Lytechinus pictus: one gene and its partner. The protein of the gene in region 2 purifies or fractionates together with the protein of the main gene of each other region. This does not show direct contact. Links are inferred from orthologs where the notes say so. Each region holds a gene or a part of one and is shown on either strand. Other genes may lie near its edges.

Region 1 (7,907 bases), on a different chromosome or scaffold from region 2:
GAGGGGCGAGAGGAGATCGAGAAAAGGGGAGAGAGAGAGAGATGAGAGTAATGGGAAGGGGTGCGGAAGGGAGAGAAGAGGGAGGTGAGAAAGAGAGAGGATGAAAAGAACGAGGGATCAAGACAGAAGGTGGGAGAGATTTAATGACAGAGATGAAGAGAATGGGTATGGATGGGGAGAGGAGAGAAAGGGGAGGCAAGGAGGGAACAAGACATAAGGGGGAGGGGAAAAGAGAGAAAGAGAGGAACACATTTTGTCATTATAACAACGTACAAGAATTTCACATAATTGACAAAACACGAACTAGTAAACCTAAATAATAAATCAACTCAGTTTAAAAAATTTGAATTTGGAAAGGCTTTGTGCAGGTTTTTGCACAAATTAGGTATCAACACAAATTGAGGCACATATAGAACCGAGTCCAGTCTTAAATTTTGCTTTTTAGATTCAAATAGCATCTTACACCTGGAAGGCATTTTGTATTCTAAAAAATGTCTACTTCACTGCATTAAAAATATGAAACAGAACAAAATCTATAGTGTGACATGTTCCAAAGATATTTATAATTATTTTTTCCTACATGTTGTATACATAGCATGAACAAGTATGGAATGGCATTTCTTTCCAAATTTTAATCCATGACAATCGGAAGTAGGAAATGATTGTATGGTGTATTTCTTCTCTTTTTTGTGACAAAGCCAATAACTGATTTAAATTTTTCAGAGGAACATACAAAAATAAGCAGAATGTCAGCCTGAGAGTTTCAGTTGTTATTTGTTATATTTGAATGTGAGTAAATTCCTTATTTAAGTTATATTCTATCATTTCTTTAAACATCATAAATAGAATTTGATAGCTCACAGAGATTAGTTCCATCTTTAGCATGTTTGTTTAACGTCAATAGAAGACATGATTGAGTTACTTTATGGGGTGGAACAAGAAATTAAGACAATTATACCGAATCTGCCATCTGGCTCTTCATTGCATCCATGAAGGTTGCTTCCGACGGCTTTGCTGATTGGCTATCTCCGTGCTGATCAGCTTCACCATTGGTCAGTTCGGGTGGTTGCTGTACCAACGAGGGCGTGGCTTCATTATCCTTCTCAAGGTAATTGGCATCAGAGAGATCAATCACAGCTGATGCGTTCTGTAGAAGAAAAAACATTTTAAAGACTTTCTGCAAAAGGTGATTGGTTGATATATATTCACTTAAAAAATTATTCACTAAAAATAATGACATATTTTCATTAACAACCCTCATAACCATCGCAAAAATGCTTGACATGATGAGGACGGTCAAGGTGATGATGACGATGATCATTTCAATGACAATGTGTGTAATTATAACAATAAAAACTTGAAAACTTGAAACATAAACAGTGTTCTATCGAGACCCATTTTAGTGGTGGTCACGATTTTTTTTTTTAGGCTGAGTTGGCAGTCTTTAAGCCATGAGTGAAGGAACATCAATGTAATAACTATCTGACATTAATTTGCAAATCTTTGTAAATGAACAAATAAAACAAGATTAAAGATAGAAATGAATGCAGGTCAATTTCCTCTTTTCGAATAGTTCATTTTATACACTTTCCATTTGGAATTAGTGGTGGACGGGAGCAGTGTTTTTCAGGATGAATGGTGGTCAGAAATCTTCGGTGCCGGTTGGGCCCGACCACTGCCATCCACTGTAGCGATAAGTTACAACACTGATCATAAAAAGGCCTAATCAATTTTTTTTTTTTGCCAGCATAAATATAAATTTTTAGCAATTAAAGTCTAGATCTAAAATTCAATTAGAATCAATGTTAAAATATTTTTTGAAAATTTGTATCAAACGTGTGCTAATTTAAAGGGGAATCCAACCCAAACAAAAACTTGTTTTTATAAGGAAAAGAAAAATCAGACAAGTTAATAGGTGAAAGTTTGAACAATATTGGACAAACAACAAGAAAGTTATGAATTTTTAAAAGTTGTAAATATTGGTAATCACTATACCCATGGAGACTTCAAATTGGCCGCATATGGGATGTCATAGTGATGTAAGGCAAGAACTACTCTTCCATGTACTCCAATACATATTATGGCTAAAATGTCATTTTTCCCAAAAGTTTTATTTCAAATTATAAAATTATATTTTGCTTTCATGAGGACATAAAACAATATACTTCCTGGGTTATATTTAGATTACTGCCCCAGGGGGATGGGTACTTAGGAGAAAACCACAAATCCCTGATAATAAAGTACATGGCCTATGGGAAAGTTGTCCTTGCATGCCCCTTGTCATAATTTACTTACCCAGTGGCCAATTTGAAATCTACATAGTATTAGTGATCTCAATTTTAAAGCAGCTATAACTTTCTTATTGCTTGTCCGATTTCTTTCAAACTTTCACCATTCTGTTTAATTTATTTTTCTCCTTCCCAACGCAACATTTTATGGCCAAGGCTGGATTCCCCTTTAAGAAATGCTTTTTCATAAAGGCAAGGGTCTGAATCCTGCCTTTAATAGACAATAGGCAGTAGAGGCACTGTTCCAAAAATTGAGATTGTCCAAGAAAACAAGGATATATCCTCATAAACCAGGACAAATCCTCATAAACCAGGACAATTACGTCGCCATCTTGATTTCTATGTCTTTCGCCAAGCGAAAGACAAAGAAATCAAGATGGCGACGTAAACAAGGCCGTAAGCTCTTCCCATCTTAACATTTTTCTCATTTTTTTATGAAATCTTGTTTAAAAATGAAAATCAATATCGTAGAAATGTCAGAAATGAAGGTGTACCCCATGTACATGATTTAGGGCTAGATCTTTTAGAGGGAAAGTAGAAATCTCGGGGGCGAAAGTTTCAAACTTTCAGGTTTTGGGACGGTACCGGTATGTGTAGCCGTATGGGAAGCAATTCCAGGCTCCATGGGGAGTAAGCCTACGTATAGTAGACTGATTTTTACTCTCCAGGAGCCTCTATGCTACGTGGCAGTGGATCTAGACTATATAGTCATACTCATATTTTAGTCTTATTTAGGGAAATTAGGGCCTAACTAAATACTAACTTAGTTGTTTATATCAGCGGACAGCGGTTATTAAATTTTTGACTGGACGTTGACAATAATTTCATACATTTTTTTTAATTAGACTAAAATTTTGCTTAGCCTCTTAGTTTTTACAGAGACGGCTTCAATTAAAGTCAAGCGCTAAATAAAATCGATGTAACGTTAGAACTAACGTTAGAATGTAGATCTACGAATGTGTCCCAGCTCAGCGCAGCACGCAGCGGGTGGGTCCGGGGAGAAGATCTGTCGGATTCCGCACAACAACACGCATCCACAACACTAAACAGTCACAATAATCGGCTGCTAGCTAGCGCATTTCCACCACACAATCAATCATCTTATCATCAATCATTCCCAACATGATAGAAATGTAAAACACACCAATCGTGGATTACATTAGTATTGTGGAAATGATGGATAAATACCCCCAAAAATTAATTATAAAGCATTTTTCTTACCATTTCGTCATTTTTTGCGTACCACTCGGAACTCGCCATGGTGGCAGTTTTTCATGTTAAATAACGTAGAGGGCGTCATACGACTTTGATGAAATGTCATGAACAATATTCATTGCGCTATAAAAATAACAATTCCAATTCATTTTTAATTTTTTTTTAAATAGAAAAGATCTTCGTAAGACTGCCTGGACTGTCTGAATAGAAGGCGTATACATACATATATATATATATATACTCTAGCGTACATAAGGGGGGCAGGGGGGCAGACTGCCCTCCCCCCCCCCCCCCCTGACGAGTCACAAGGAAAAAAAAAGCGAAAAAAGGGAAAGAAAAAAGAAAAGAGGAAAAAGGAAAGAGAGAAAAAGGGGAAAGGGGAAAAAGAAGAAAGAGTTGAAGAGAAAGGGGAAAACAAAAACTGGACTGCAGACTGTCGGAAAAAAAATTATAAACTGTCGGGCACACGGGGCTGCTCCAACTGATTCGGTTTTTTAGTTCCACCAGCTTTGTCGGTAAATGTCAATTAAATTACTGTACACTTTTATCGGTAAATTGTGATTTTTACGCAATGCGACCTTTAGAGCTCTCTGTACCGATAGTGAGGACGGACTGGGCTGACCAGTCCAGGGACAGGAAAAAGTTAGAGAACAACTTTTAGGTAACATAATTATAACAATGCAAATTTCGCGCGTAGCGCTCGCATAAATTTCTAAGTTGGTTACTTAAGATAAATGTCTAGTTTTCAGGCGTCAATTGATTAGTAGGCCTAAGAGCCGGAATATAAAAAATTTCAGCTCGCGCTTCGTGCTCAAATATAACTGTTCAAATATATCCATCCTGTTCATAGTTAAATGAAGTGCTTAGAATGTCCGGTTTTCAGGTCGGAATATAAAAATAAAAAATATCAAAAATATATCATTAGAAACCAATGTGTTCACGGTTACAAAAATTGCTTAGAATATCAAGTTCTTAGGCCGGAATATCAAAAATTTCAGCTCGAGCTTAATTCGCACTCGCATAAAATTCCATCCTGTCCATAATTAAATGAAGTGCTCAGAATGTAAAGTTTTCGGGTCGAAATATAAAAAAAAATTTAGCTCGCGCTTCGCGCTCACACCAATTAATTGTTAGAATGTCCACTTTTCAGGGGGGAATATCTCAAATTTTCAGCTCGCTCTTCGCGCTCGCATCAATTAATTATTCAGTTAGAAACAACTTTGTTCATGGCTACTAAAAGTCCTTAGAATGTCCAGTTCTTAAGTCGGAGTATCAAAAGTTTTAGCTCGCGCTTCGCGCCCGCCCGACTGTTTAGAAACCCATCCTGTAACTGCTTAAAATGTCTAGTGTCCAGTTAGGAATATCAAAATTTTTAGCTCGCGCTTCGCGATTGCATAATTGATTAAGGAAGATACCCATTCTATTCATAATTAAGTGCACAAAATGTATCGTTTTAGGTTCATTTTTTAAGAAAAAATTCAGCTCGCACTTCGCGCTCGCAATTATTAGTTTTTTATATTATTATTTTTAATTGATTTCAATGTCAAATACCTCTTTTATAACGTCTCCAAATGAGCAGAATTGGGAACATAATTATATGTAAACACCTTTGAAGAGGAATAAAAGAAGTATTATATAATAGTATAATAGTATAAGTATAATATAATCATTGCAACTACCACTTGATTAGAAATATATCGATCACGATCCAATACATTTCATTTCTGGAATGATATACAAAAAAGGAATTAATTTCGACAATAAAGTGCAATCACCCGATAGCAAATATCAGTAGTAGCAGGATCGAGACTGTTTTATTGGGCACCCCTGGGTAACCTTTCCCACCTTTAGTGCCACTGCCAGAGCTACACATCTAAACGTGTATGGGGGGTGGGCTGCAAAATGCAGGACAACGAGGACTGCGAGGTGCCCAAATATCCTCGTGTATTGGTAATTTCATGACCGAATTTATAATTTCTGCACGTTTCACATCATGTAAAAATGCCAAATAATAATTGAAAAAAAATTTCGCTCTCTTCGCTCGCTCGAAAATTAAAAACTGTGAAGTTGGTATTTGGGCAATGATTATCAGCCCCCCCCCCTTGAAATTGTTTTGCCTTTATACGTCCATGCCTACTATCTCCCCCCCCCCCCCCACCTTACTCATCCTTGTCGCTTGCCCCCCTGACGAAATATGCCATGTACGCCACTGTATATATATATATATATATATATATATATATATATATATATATATATATATATATATATATATATATATATATATATATATATATATATATGGGCAATTCCACAGGTTGATGGACATGAGCTTAAAAATTCAAATTCAATATTTTCTTGATTTTTTTAATACTTTAAGTCCTTCATGCTTGATAGTTTCAGGAACAAGAAATAAAAAGTTTATTTTCATATGCATACTTTGGAAAAAAATGGTCAAAAGTTGTGTCTTCCATTCTGTACCAAAATACAAGAAAAATAGTGAAAAATGAAATATGCCTTATTACCATTTTGTTATTGCAACAACATACCACTTTATATATTTCTGAAGTTTAGAAGAGTCAAATTACCTAAAATACACAACAGCTTTTCAAGTAAATTTGTAGTACTCATTCAAAAATGAATATTGCAACTTGCTCAGGTGATGTAACGTGAGTAACCGAAAAAACTGACTTTGTTTTCTGAGAGAAAAATTCTTCACAGTTAATTGGTGGGATTTTAAATTCTCTTCCTTCAAACAATCTTTGACACAGTGATGACTAACAAAATCATTACAAAGTACAATTTTTTATAAAAATGATGAAGAAAAACTGTAACGTGAGTAACTTTGTAACGTGAGTAACCATCATGTAATGTGAGTAACCAGTAAAAATTATGCAGTTAGGTAACATTTTCTGTGGGATGTCAAGTTTTAAGTCTCATGGTGAGTTGTGAAGTTATTTTTGATTAATTAAAAGCAAAATGAGGGTACACCTCTTTGATGTGACTCTTTGTTCATCAAAATATCAGTGGTCATACAATCACACAAAAAATTGAATATTAGTAGAAGTATTCACAATGCGAGAGTGCATTAGTAAGACTTGGTTTCAATTAACCAAACTTTAAAGAGTGTTCGAACAACACATTGAATGTCCTTACCTGTAACCCTATCTAGGCTGGGGTATTTTGGGAGTTAATATGGCCCAAGGGGGGGGGGGTGTGAGGGGGGGGGTGTGGGGGGTTTGAGATCTCGGCCTCTGGCCGCCCGATCACGCCGAAAATTTGCATGCAGGTTGTCTTGGACATAATCTACAATACTATCAGTAATTTATTTCATGCAAATTGGTGTTAAGCAATTATGCTAATTTATGCATAATTAGTAGGCAAAATCATACTTTTCCCTCTTACTCCCTAATAAAGCTCCAATTGTTCCATTTTTTTGTATAAAATCTCTTTTTGATGTTCCTAGCAATGAATTTTACACACATTATTGAATTTTTAATGACATTTGTGTTGTTAACCATACATGGACAAAATGTAATGTGAGTAACCGTAACGTGAGTAACCATATTATCTGCACCCCAAGTAAAAACCATGTGTTCTTTATTTTTTTGATTATGTACAAAGTTTGTCTCCCTAATATACTTCTTTGAAATGGATATAATCAACTTTCATAAAAGCCTTGTATGAGGAGACTTTTCACTTATGTCGACTTTTCATTTTATGCATGTCCAAATCATGTAATGTGAGTAACCGACACATTCCAAAGATTTGCCAGGAGCATAATAAAATTTCCCAAGTTTTGTTTTTATACAAAGGATAGTCAGACTGTGTACTTTGTTGTGATAAAGAGATGTTTAGTTCCTATCAATAATAATGGAGTTACAGCTCCAAGTATGAGTCAAGGTGTCTCCAAATGTAACGTGAGTAACCGTGGAATAGCCCATATATATATATATATATATATATATATATATCGACGAAGGCCGATGATGGCCGAAAGCTTGCAATACAAAAGGAAACTCGAGAGCTACGTCTCACCCGTCGTTATTTCTGTCTTCCAAGTTTATTTACACTAAATGATGAGTACCTGCACTACTCGTTGTGCTGAGGGCCCCCTTACATTATATATATATATATATGTATATACATATATATATATATATATATATACTTTTTATGTGAAGAATGAATGAATGTCATGTAATTTCCCTCTAAATTTGTATTATATAAAATTATAATTATGTTTTCCCCCAAGAATTTAAAATTGTGATTGAATACTGTTTTATTGAGTACAATATAGGAGCATTATTGATGAAACTTGTTTTGTAAGAAGGGATACAAAATGCCATGCGAGAAAATAATGCGCACCATCCCCTTAAAAATAGTTCGTATAGTATTGGCTTT
Region 2 (8,140 bases):
CCGACGAAGAATCGGAGGGCGACAAACGTCCAGTAGTTTGGGGAGAAAGCGACGGCGACACCGAAAGCGAGTTGGGCCCAGATGGAAATAAACCATATCGGCTTCCTTCCAAAACGATCAGAAAGCTGTCCAAACATTAATGATCCGACCATAACCCCACCCATGAAGATCGAAGTAGAAAGATCCACCTTGTCTTTGTCATTGCAAACCAGATCCCACTAAAAAAACATTAAAAATCAACAAATAATAATAGGGATGGTGGGACTAATCGACAAGAACAACTAATATTTGTTTCAATCAAATTTGCAATAAGAATTCCATTCTTTTCTTCGATTCTCCTTTCAATTGAAATACCGTGATTAGACAAGGCGGGAAAATGGATCCGACTTTTAGGATATAACTTGTTGCAATACGACGAAAATGAAATTTCTTCAACTTAAACACATATTTTACTGAGGGACGGATAAACGTTACTTATATCCCATATAATTATATTGGATTGTTCTATTCAAAAAAAAAGCAACTATGGACTTCAAATGAGAATAGGCAAATTTAACATTAACGAAGTTCTTTATTAAACATGACGTGCATGATGGAGTATGTGTGCAGGAATTAGGCGCAGTGAGATTTACATACTAGAAATTGATGATAAAAATAATAATAACCTAGTCTTATAAAGCACTTTTCATGAAATCCATATCAAAGCGCTTTACAATGTAGAACATATGAAATATACAAACAAAAGTGAGTTAGAAATTATATAACCAAAAATTAAAAATATTGAGGACACTCTAAATGGGGCTAATGTTGAATGTGCTTTCTTCTTAAGATAAGTCTTTAAATTGGATCTGAACAATGTGATATTTGGGATACAACGAAAGGAAGATGAAAGAGCGTTCCAAAGACGTGGGAAAGAGCTTGAAAAGTGTGAAAAGGGCATTTATATTTCATCATGATATTAATGATATCAATGATATAATTTTCTTGTAATTATGCTTCAATCGTATATTTCAATTTCTCTCCCCCCCCCCCGCTTTTTTTTTTTATAAAGATTTTTAGGGGCGATGTAGGCATATTGTATACGCGCCTGGTTATTACCCCCGCTCCTGTTTGTATGGAATCAAAACCGAAAAAAACCTTACAACGTGTAAGAGGTCGAGATAGGGAAATACGGAAAAATGCGTGTAAGAAAATCCAGAGAACTTTTAAAGCTGTTATGTTGCATCTAAAGTTCAAAACATAATGTTTTCATTTAACGATATTCAATGGTCAGAAAATATGAGAGGGGCTTTAACTTGCAGAAAACAGCTAATCTTATTGTTTCACAATTATGTTTCTATTTTTAGAATACCATAGAATATTTAAACCTGCAAACACATTGTTTACTATTCACACTATTAGGCCTACTGATTTAAAAAGAATGCACTTTGGGACTTTGCACTCAAGAGTAACTGCTCTTTATCGACCTTTGATTTTATGTACATTAGAATGACGTCTATTGGATCTATAGTGGAATTGCTCTGTAATCAAATTACAATTTGAGATTTGCCGTACATTGACCAAAATATCAACCGAATTATATAAGATGTTAGATAACGTTTATAATCCATCATCTTTACTATATCATAGTAGACCCACAGATGTAAGAGAAATTTAGAGCTATTACGATTTGCCATTTACAAACTGATATATAATTTTGGTAGCACACTCTGATAGACCATCGCACCCACTCCTTTGATTGTAGTCACAACAATTGAGAATATAATAAAGAGAAAGAGGGGGTAGAGAGAGGGGGAGAGATGGAGAGGGGGATCTCGGAGAGGAGAGTGATAATGAAAGAGAGAGGGGCTGGAAAACAGTTAGAATAGAAGTCGAGTTGATCGTGGGTGAAAGAACACTATAGGAGAGAGAGAGAGAGAGGGGAAAATATATATGCGTGGGTTGGATCTAATTTCATTGAAAGTCATAAACTTGTGACCTTGTTTCTATGACAACGGATCAAGATGCATAAATGGAGGTCATGACTGAGAGGTCAATCATTGATTCACAACGATCAAATGTGACCTGTATTTCATTTTTATTTTAAGGACTCTTTGACAAACATAATAGAAAGATTTATTTACCCAACCAGGACATTATACATTTATGTTTTTCTAGTTTGATTCTTAACGTTAGGTTTAATTTTTAGTTTCATTTGTTTAGAACTACTATTCACTTACTTCCATTAATAATAATCAATAGATCTGTATGAAACAAAAAATATGAGCATCACCCGCAAATTATAGAAATTACCCTACGGTGTGTATGCTTAATACAAATGGTAATAAGCACTTCCAAGACAAAATATTACATTAATATCTTTGCCACTTCCTATATCCAACTACACCCCTTCCCCCTTCTCTCTCATACACTTTAACCCCCCCCCCCTCCCTCTCCCCTTCTTAATTTTAATGCGTTTAATGAGTTAATATTTCATCATCCGTGAATGATCTTACCTCTGTTGCAATCGTTTTCCCATAGAGATCTTCATCATAAACCCATCCATCGATGCACCCCTCCGTTGCATTGCCAGCGGTGAAGTTCACAAATCTCAAACAGCTGGAATTTACTGGACCTTCGCCTTCTGACTTGCCCTGCTCGACCGGATAGTAATGATTCCAAGGGTCCATGACGACATCTTCACCCGCTGGATCATCCCCTGGAGGAATGCGACAACGATGCTCGGGAACCGCCCCCAAGAAGGTGATGGCTAGCATATGCCATGACTGTGTGAGTTGCCCGACCAGGCATATGAGCACGTAAATGATGGTCTGATATCGCCCGAAATCGCCCAAGGATTTGAGCGCCTCGTCCAGATCCATGGCATATAGTCCGACATATAGTTTTCCCCCCGAATAATTCGACCGTCCTGACCGTGGCAGGTCGTTTCTCAGGTTATATAAAGACCAATGATCTCCCCGTGGTATCCCTCATATATCGCTAGATCACAGTGCAAATATAAATAAGTACTACCCAAACTTCTGTTCAGTATTCAAGTATGAAGTAAATAACACCCTTGCTTCAAGTGTTCTAAGTACAACGACACGATTACAAAAAGAATATAGCTAACGATATGACTTATATACAATTCCTCTCGAAACTAATCTGACAGTCTCTTGGCAACTCACTTGCAACCGAAACCAAGAGAAGAACGGCCATGCAGTCCTGCAACAGGAAACGGTTGTCTTTATATTATGAGAACTTATACTCGTAATTACATGCGCGATAAAACAATGTTGAATTAATTACAACTATCAGTCTATAGAAAATTACGAAGTAAATTACACACGTCCATATACTTTTTTTATTCAGCTATTTATACTTTGACTACCATCATAAGGGCGAATTATTTTGAATCGAGAAAATCCTGGAAAATGTTCGTCAAGTTTTTTGCAGGGGGTCGGAAAACAATCTCTTCTATTTTCATAATTTCTAAATTTGGACGATGATATTTCTTGAGCCCATTGAGATGGGATGGTCCGTGCTGAAAATATTTATATCTTAATACATAAAGTAGAATTCACTAAGCAAAATGCCAAAAATGTCATCAAAATCGGATAACAATTAATAAAGTTATTGAATCTTAAAGTTCAGAAATATTTTGTGAAAACAGTAATCATGAATTTTTATTAGGTGGACTGATGATGTCACATCTCCACTTTCCGTTTTCTTATGTTATTAAATAAAATCATAATTTATTCATTATTTCATACTTGTGTGAATAATATGTCTCCCTTATAATGAAATAAGTTGCAGCAATAAAAATCTAATGCACTAAATCAGTTGTCAATCCAATTTTTTCTAGTTCTTGGAGGAAAAAAGTTGAATAAACCTAATTTCATATCAAGTGGGGATGTGACATCATCAGCCCACCTAATGAATATTCATGACGAGTGCATGTTTTCACAAAATATTGCTAAATTTTAAAATTCAATAACTTTTTTATTTGATATCCGATTTTGATGAAATTTTCGGCAGTTTGCTCAGTGAATTCTACTCTATGTATTAAGCTATAAATACTTTCAGACCGGACCATCCCTTTAATACTATCTACCATGGCATTATTGCTCAGCAGCCAATCAAATTCAAGAATTCCTTTGAAGAAACCATCGGATGACAAAGTTATAGAATAATAATAACTTTTATGCAAAAGGGCCCAGAATTTTTTTTCCTGAATGATAATACAACCATGCTTACATAGCGCATATCACTACCCGTAGAACTCTCTGTGCGTTTAGGAAAATAGACCAAAAAAAGAAGATTGGATTGAAGCTGTTATGTAGACTGCATAAATTATAACTGCTTAATTAAACAAATAAGTTTTGAGACGACTTTTGAGTATAAAGCTTGTGGAAGCTGGGATCGTATTCCAAAGTTTAGAGGCAGCGTAACAAAATTACCTCTCCCCATAGAATGAATGGGAAGAAAGTCTGCTGATTAGCAAGAAGTCTGATCATCAGTATATATCATTTTATGCCATTTTGGCGCAAGTCTCTTTTTAACCCCAGACAAAAACATTCCGTGTTCGTTCAAGCATGAACGAAACTGAATCATTTTAATGGCATTTGAAGGATAAGACTTCAGAGCACCCATTGGCACCAAAATAGAGAGTTCATAATTTTAAACAAAAATTTTATAGACTTTTCAAATCTGTCCCGGTTTTTTGATACGCACTATATATATATATTATAATATATATATATATATATATATATATATATATGTAACTATATATATCTTGTCGATAGGCCCCCGTATTCCATTCTGAAACTGGACAATTTGATTGTTAGAAATTCATGAAAATGTTATCATTTTACTTACTAATCTAATAAGCCTAATAAGAGCGCATTTTTTATATTAAGGCCAGAAACCTAGACATTTTAAGTACTTTTGTCATTATGAATAGGATGCATTGGGTAATATATTTTAACAAAAATAATGCGATCGCAAATCGCAAGCCGAAACTGTCCTAAAGGGAGATTAAGTAGTTTGTGAGAATTAAAATAGGTATACATAACTCACAAATTAAAATGCGAGCGCGCAGCAAGTGCTGAAATCAGACCTGAAAAGGGATATTTGGAGAACTTTATGGAATACACGAAGAGAATATTAAGTACTTGACAAAATAATGCTAGCTCGCTGATATCCAGACCATAAAACGGACATTTTAGAAAACACTTTTTAAAGAATCAAACAAAATATTGAAAGCTCGATGTCAAAATATGTTGAAATATGTTTTGTATATTGACTTCAAAACTTCAAAAAAAGTTAAGCTCCATTTCAGCCTGTAAGGCAATGCGAGCACGAAGCATGAGCGAAAATTTCTCTATACGTGTAGTGACATGAAAGATGTCTTCTCCTCAGTCACCTATTTTTTTTATTCACTCGTCTTGTTTTTTTTTTTTTCTTTTTCTCCTCTCTTTTCCCTTCTTTTTTTCTATCTCCCCCCTTTTTTTCCTTTTCTTGTTCCTTCAACAAACAGTGAGGGACATTTGATATTGCGTGTCCCCCCCACTGAACTAGAGATACGTATCTCTAGTTCAGTGGTCCCCCCCCCCCCCCCGCCCCGGCCCCCCCTATAATTACGGTAAATAATAATGCGCCCTCACAATTCACAAACAGAACACAGCTGCAAGCCACATCACAGTCAGAGACAGTACAGAGGACAATTTTTTTCGAATGCCGGCTTTTCGCAGAGGTTCAATTCCAATAGATCTGTATTAAGACGATAACACTAGTAGGTAAAAGTCTAGTAGTAGGCCTACTTGATCCTTTAGGTAATGTTAGTTTTATGAATTGACGCGCGGGCGCGGGCTTAAAAAATAGAAAAAGTCATATTGGCTTGTCCCACATGCTCATTTCTGTGTAGGGGCCGAAGGCTAGCCTTGACTGTTGTGTTGTGCAATGTGTGTTCTAGACCAAAAGCTTCAGTCTCTGTATTTTGGTTGTTCCGCTGAACTACGTTGGCTCCACTCACCATACATAGACTGAAGGGGATGGGGCCCCGTACCTACAGCCAACGTATAGTGAACTAGCGTTTTATAGATCGCGATTTAAAACTGATTTTTAAGCAAAATTGAAAGTTTCATGGTTTCCATTATCAGGGAAATATAAATAACTTAAGTAATTGCATACCTTGGGCCGGAGTTATTGAAAAAAATCCTCTGGATGATTGAGAAATCTGTCATCTAAGACATTTTCACCGGACCTGACGGTTTTTCTTGCAAGTTGCCATCTTGAATGACGTCATTATCGTTATTAACTTAATGTCTCGAATCGATATATCGCGATTATAACTAGTACTAGTACTAGTATAACTAGTATCGTTTATCTTCGGTTTCGTTCGCATATGGAGCAGATCGTATAATATCGAAAGCAATATCGATATCACATTCGTGATTGTTGACGTTCGTTTGTAAATATTTTATAGTTTGGCTGCCATTTTGACCATTTTTATCGTGTTCAACCCAATTAAACATCGGTAAAGTATATTTTTCATGCCTTTTTCATCTATATCGTTTAAAGTATTTAAACATTTAAATATCAAATTTTAAAAGTTTGTTTATACATCCTTAGATTGTAAATTTGATGTGTAAAATTACATCAAACTTTGGACTGTGAATTGACAAAAGGGAGGGAATGAGAACACATGCGAGCCCACACGTACACCCTACCGTCGGTAAATGGGGATTACAGTAAAATGTCAGAAATTGTTGAATAAATCCCCAGAAACGACGGTTATTCCTGTCTTATGTGTGTTCTTGCCAAAATGATCCAGCTATTATTACTATTATGGTGGATCAATCGTGGTCACGGACGGACGGCGCTAGTGTAGTTTCGCACCTCCCCGTTTAATGGTTTTCAAACATGTACAATCTCACCCTAAATAATTCACAACCTAAATCTAAAATACTTGCATCTGAGCCTCCAAAGGCAAAGTCCAGTAGAAGTCACTCCTAGTACCAATGAGGTCCAAACATTACATGTATGGACCTCATAGGCGACATCAGTAGTATTTTGGGTTAGAAATCTTTGAGAACAGGACATTTCTCTATTATATCACAAGTAGAAGCTATAATTCGTTTCTTTTATTTAAATTTAAATTTTAGTGTGTAAATGCATTGTTAGCAACAACAAAAAATGAAAGAAATTAAGGGAAACTTACATTTTGACGACCTTTTCTTGATTTTCTTGGCAGTTGCTCTTCACTTCTGACTCTCGATCGGAGCTGATATGCAGATCACGTGATACGCGTTCTCGTCAGGTGATCGGTTGGTTATTCTTTTCGCCAGACGTTGATAGTTATATATTTCATAACGCTCGCATTCATCGTAAATTTGGGTGAAAGAGATTGAAGTTAAACAGCGCAAGCTTTAATTTTTTTTTTAAATAACGTTTAATTGATTGCACAAGTTTCGCCTCGGACATGTAGGATCATTTCGTCCAATAATGGCGTAACGCGTAACTACGGGGGGGAGGGGTGTCCCTACCACTACCGTCCACAAGCCAGCAATTATCTTTTTTCTCTCTTTTTTAAAACCAAAATACTCCTCCCCCCCCCAGAAAAAAAGGAACCAGGGTTAAAGAGAAAGAGAATAATGATGGAATAAAAAATAATTTATTTTTTCAGCTTTTCCTGTTTTATTCGACTTATAATCAAATATTAAATGGGGCTTAGAACAGCCTTTTTAAAAGTCAATTAATAAAAAATATTCCTCCTCGGGATTCGAGCTTTCATGAAATATCAATCTTTTTCATAACTACGAAAATATTTTAAATGTCCAAATTTTGTATTGGTATATAAAGCTTTAGCTCATGCGTTGCGCCCATCTTATTTTAATGTTGAGATACAATTTTATGCTTCTAATGAATTCCTAAAAACACTAAATTCTCAGATCCTTTCGCAATCGAATGATTCGATTAAGCTAATGAATGATTATTATGTTTCATGAATTGTTTAAAAGGTGTCTCTGTATCAGTTTTGAATATTAAAAAAAATGCCAGCTCGTGCTTTTTGCTCGCAATATTTTGATTAGTAAGAAGTTCTTGTAAATGCGAGTTTGATAGATAAATAACTAGAGAGAGAGAGGGGGGGGGTCCC

The links.
Region 1: the proteins of solute carrier family 22 member 21-like (region 2) and protein YIPF3-like purify together in Homo sapiens (co-immunoprecipitation; 3 studies listed by BioGRID and IntAct, counting the BioPlex papers as one, with this or other methods). This does not show direct contact. The link is inferred for Lytechinus pictus from reciprocal best matches to the Homo sapiens genes SLC22A5 and YIPF3.

Annotation. Positions count from the first base shown.
Region 1 is NC_087250.1:17,099,806-17,107,712, forward strand, and holds the start of protein YIPF3-like, read right to left. Parts: upstream 3,581-7,907; 5' UTR 3,549-3,580; coding exon 3,510-3,548; intron 1,148-3,509; coding exon 959-1,147; intron 1-958. UniProt on the Homo sapiens protein: Involved in the maintenance of the Golgi structure. May play a role in hematopoiesis.
Region 2 is NW_026974140.1:5,909,379-5,917,518, reverse strand, and holds the start of solute carrier family 22 member 21-like, read right to left. Parts: upstream 3,256-8,140; 5' UTR 2,862-3,255; coding exon 2,496-2,861; intron 219-2,495; coding exon 1-218. UniProt on the Homo sapiens protein: Sodium-ion dependent, high affinity carnitine transporter. Involved in the active cellular uptake of carnitine. Transports one sodium ion with one molecule of carnitine.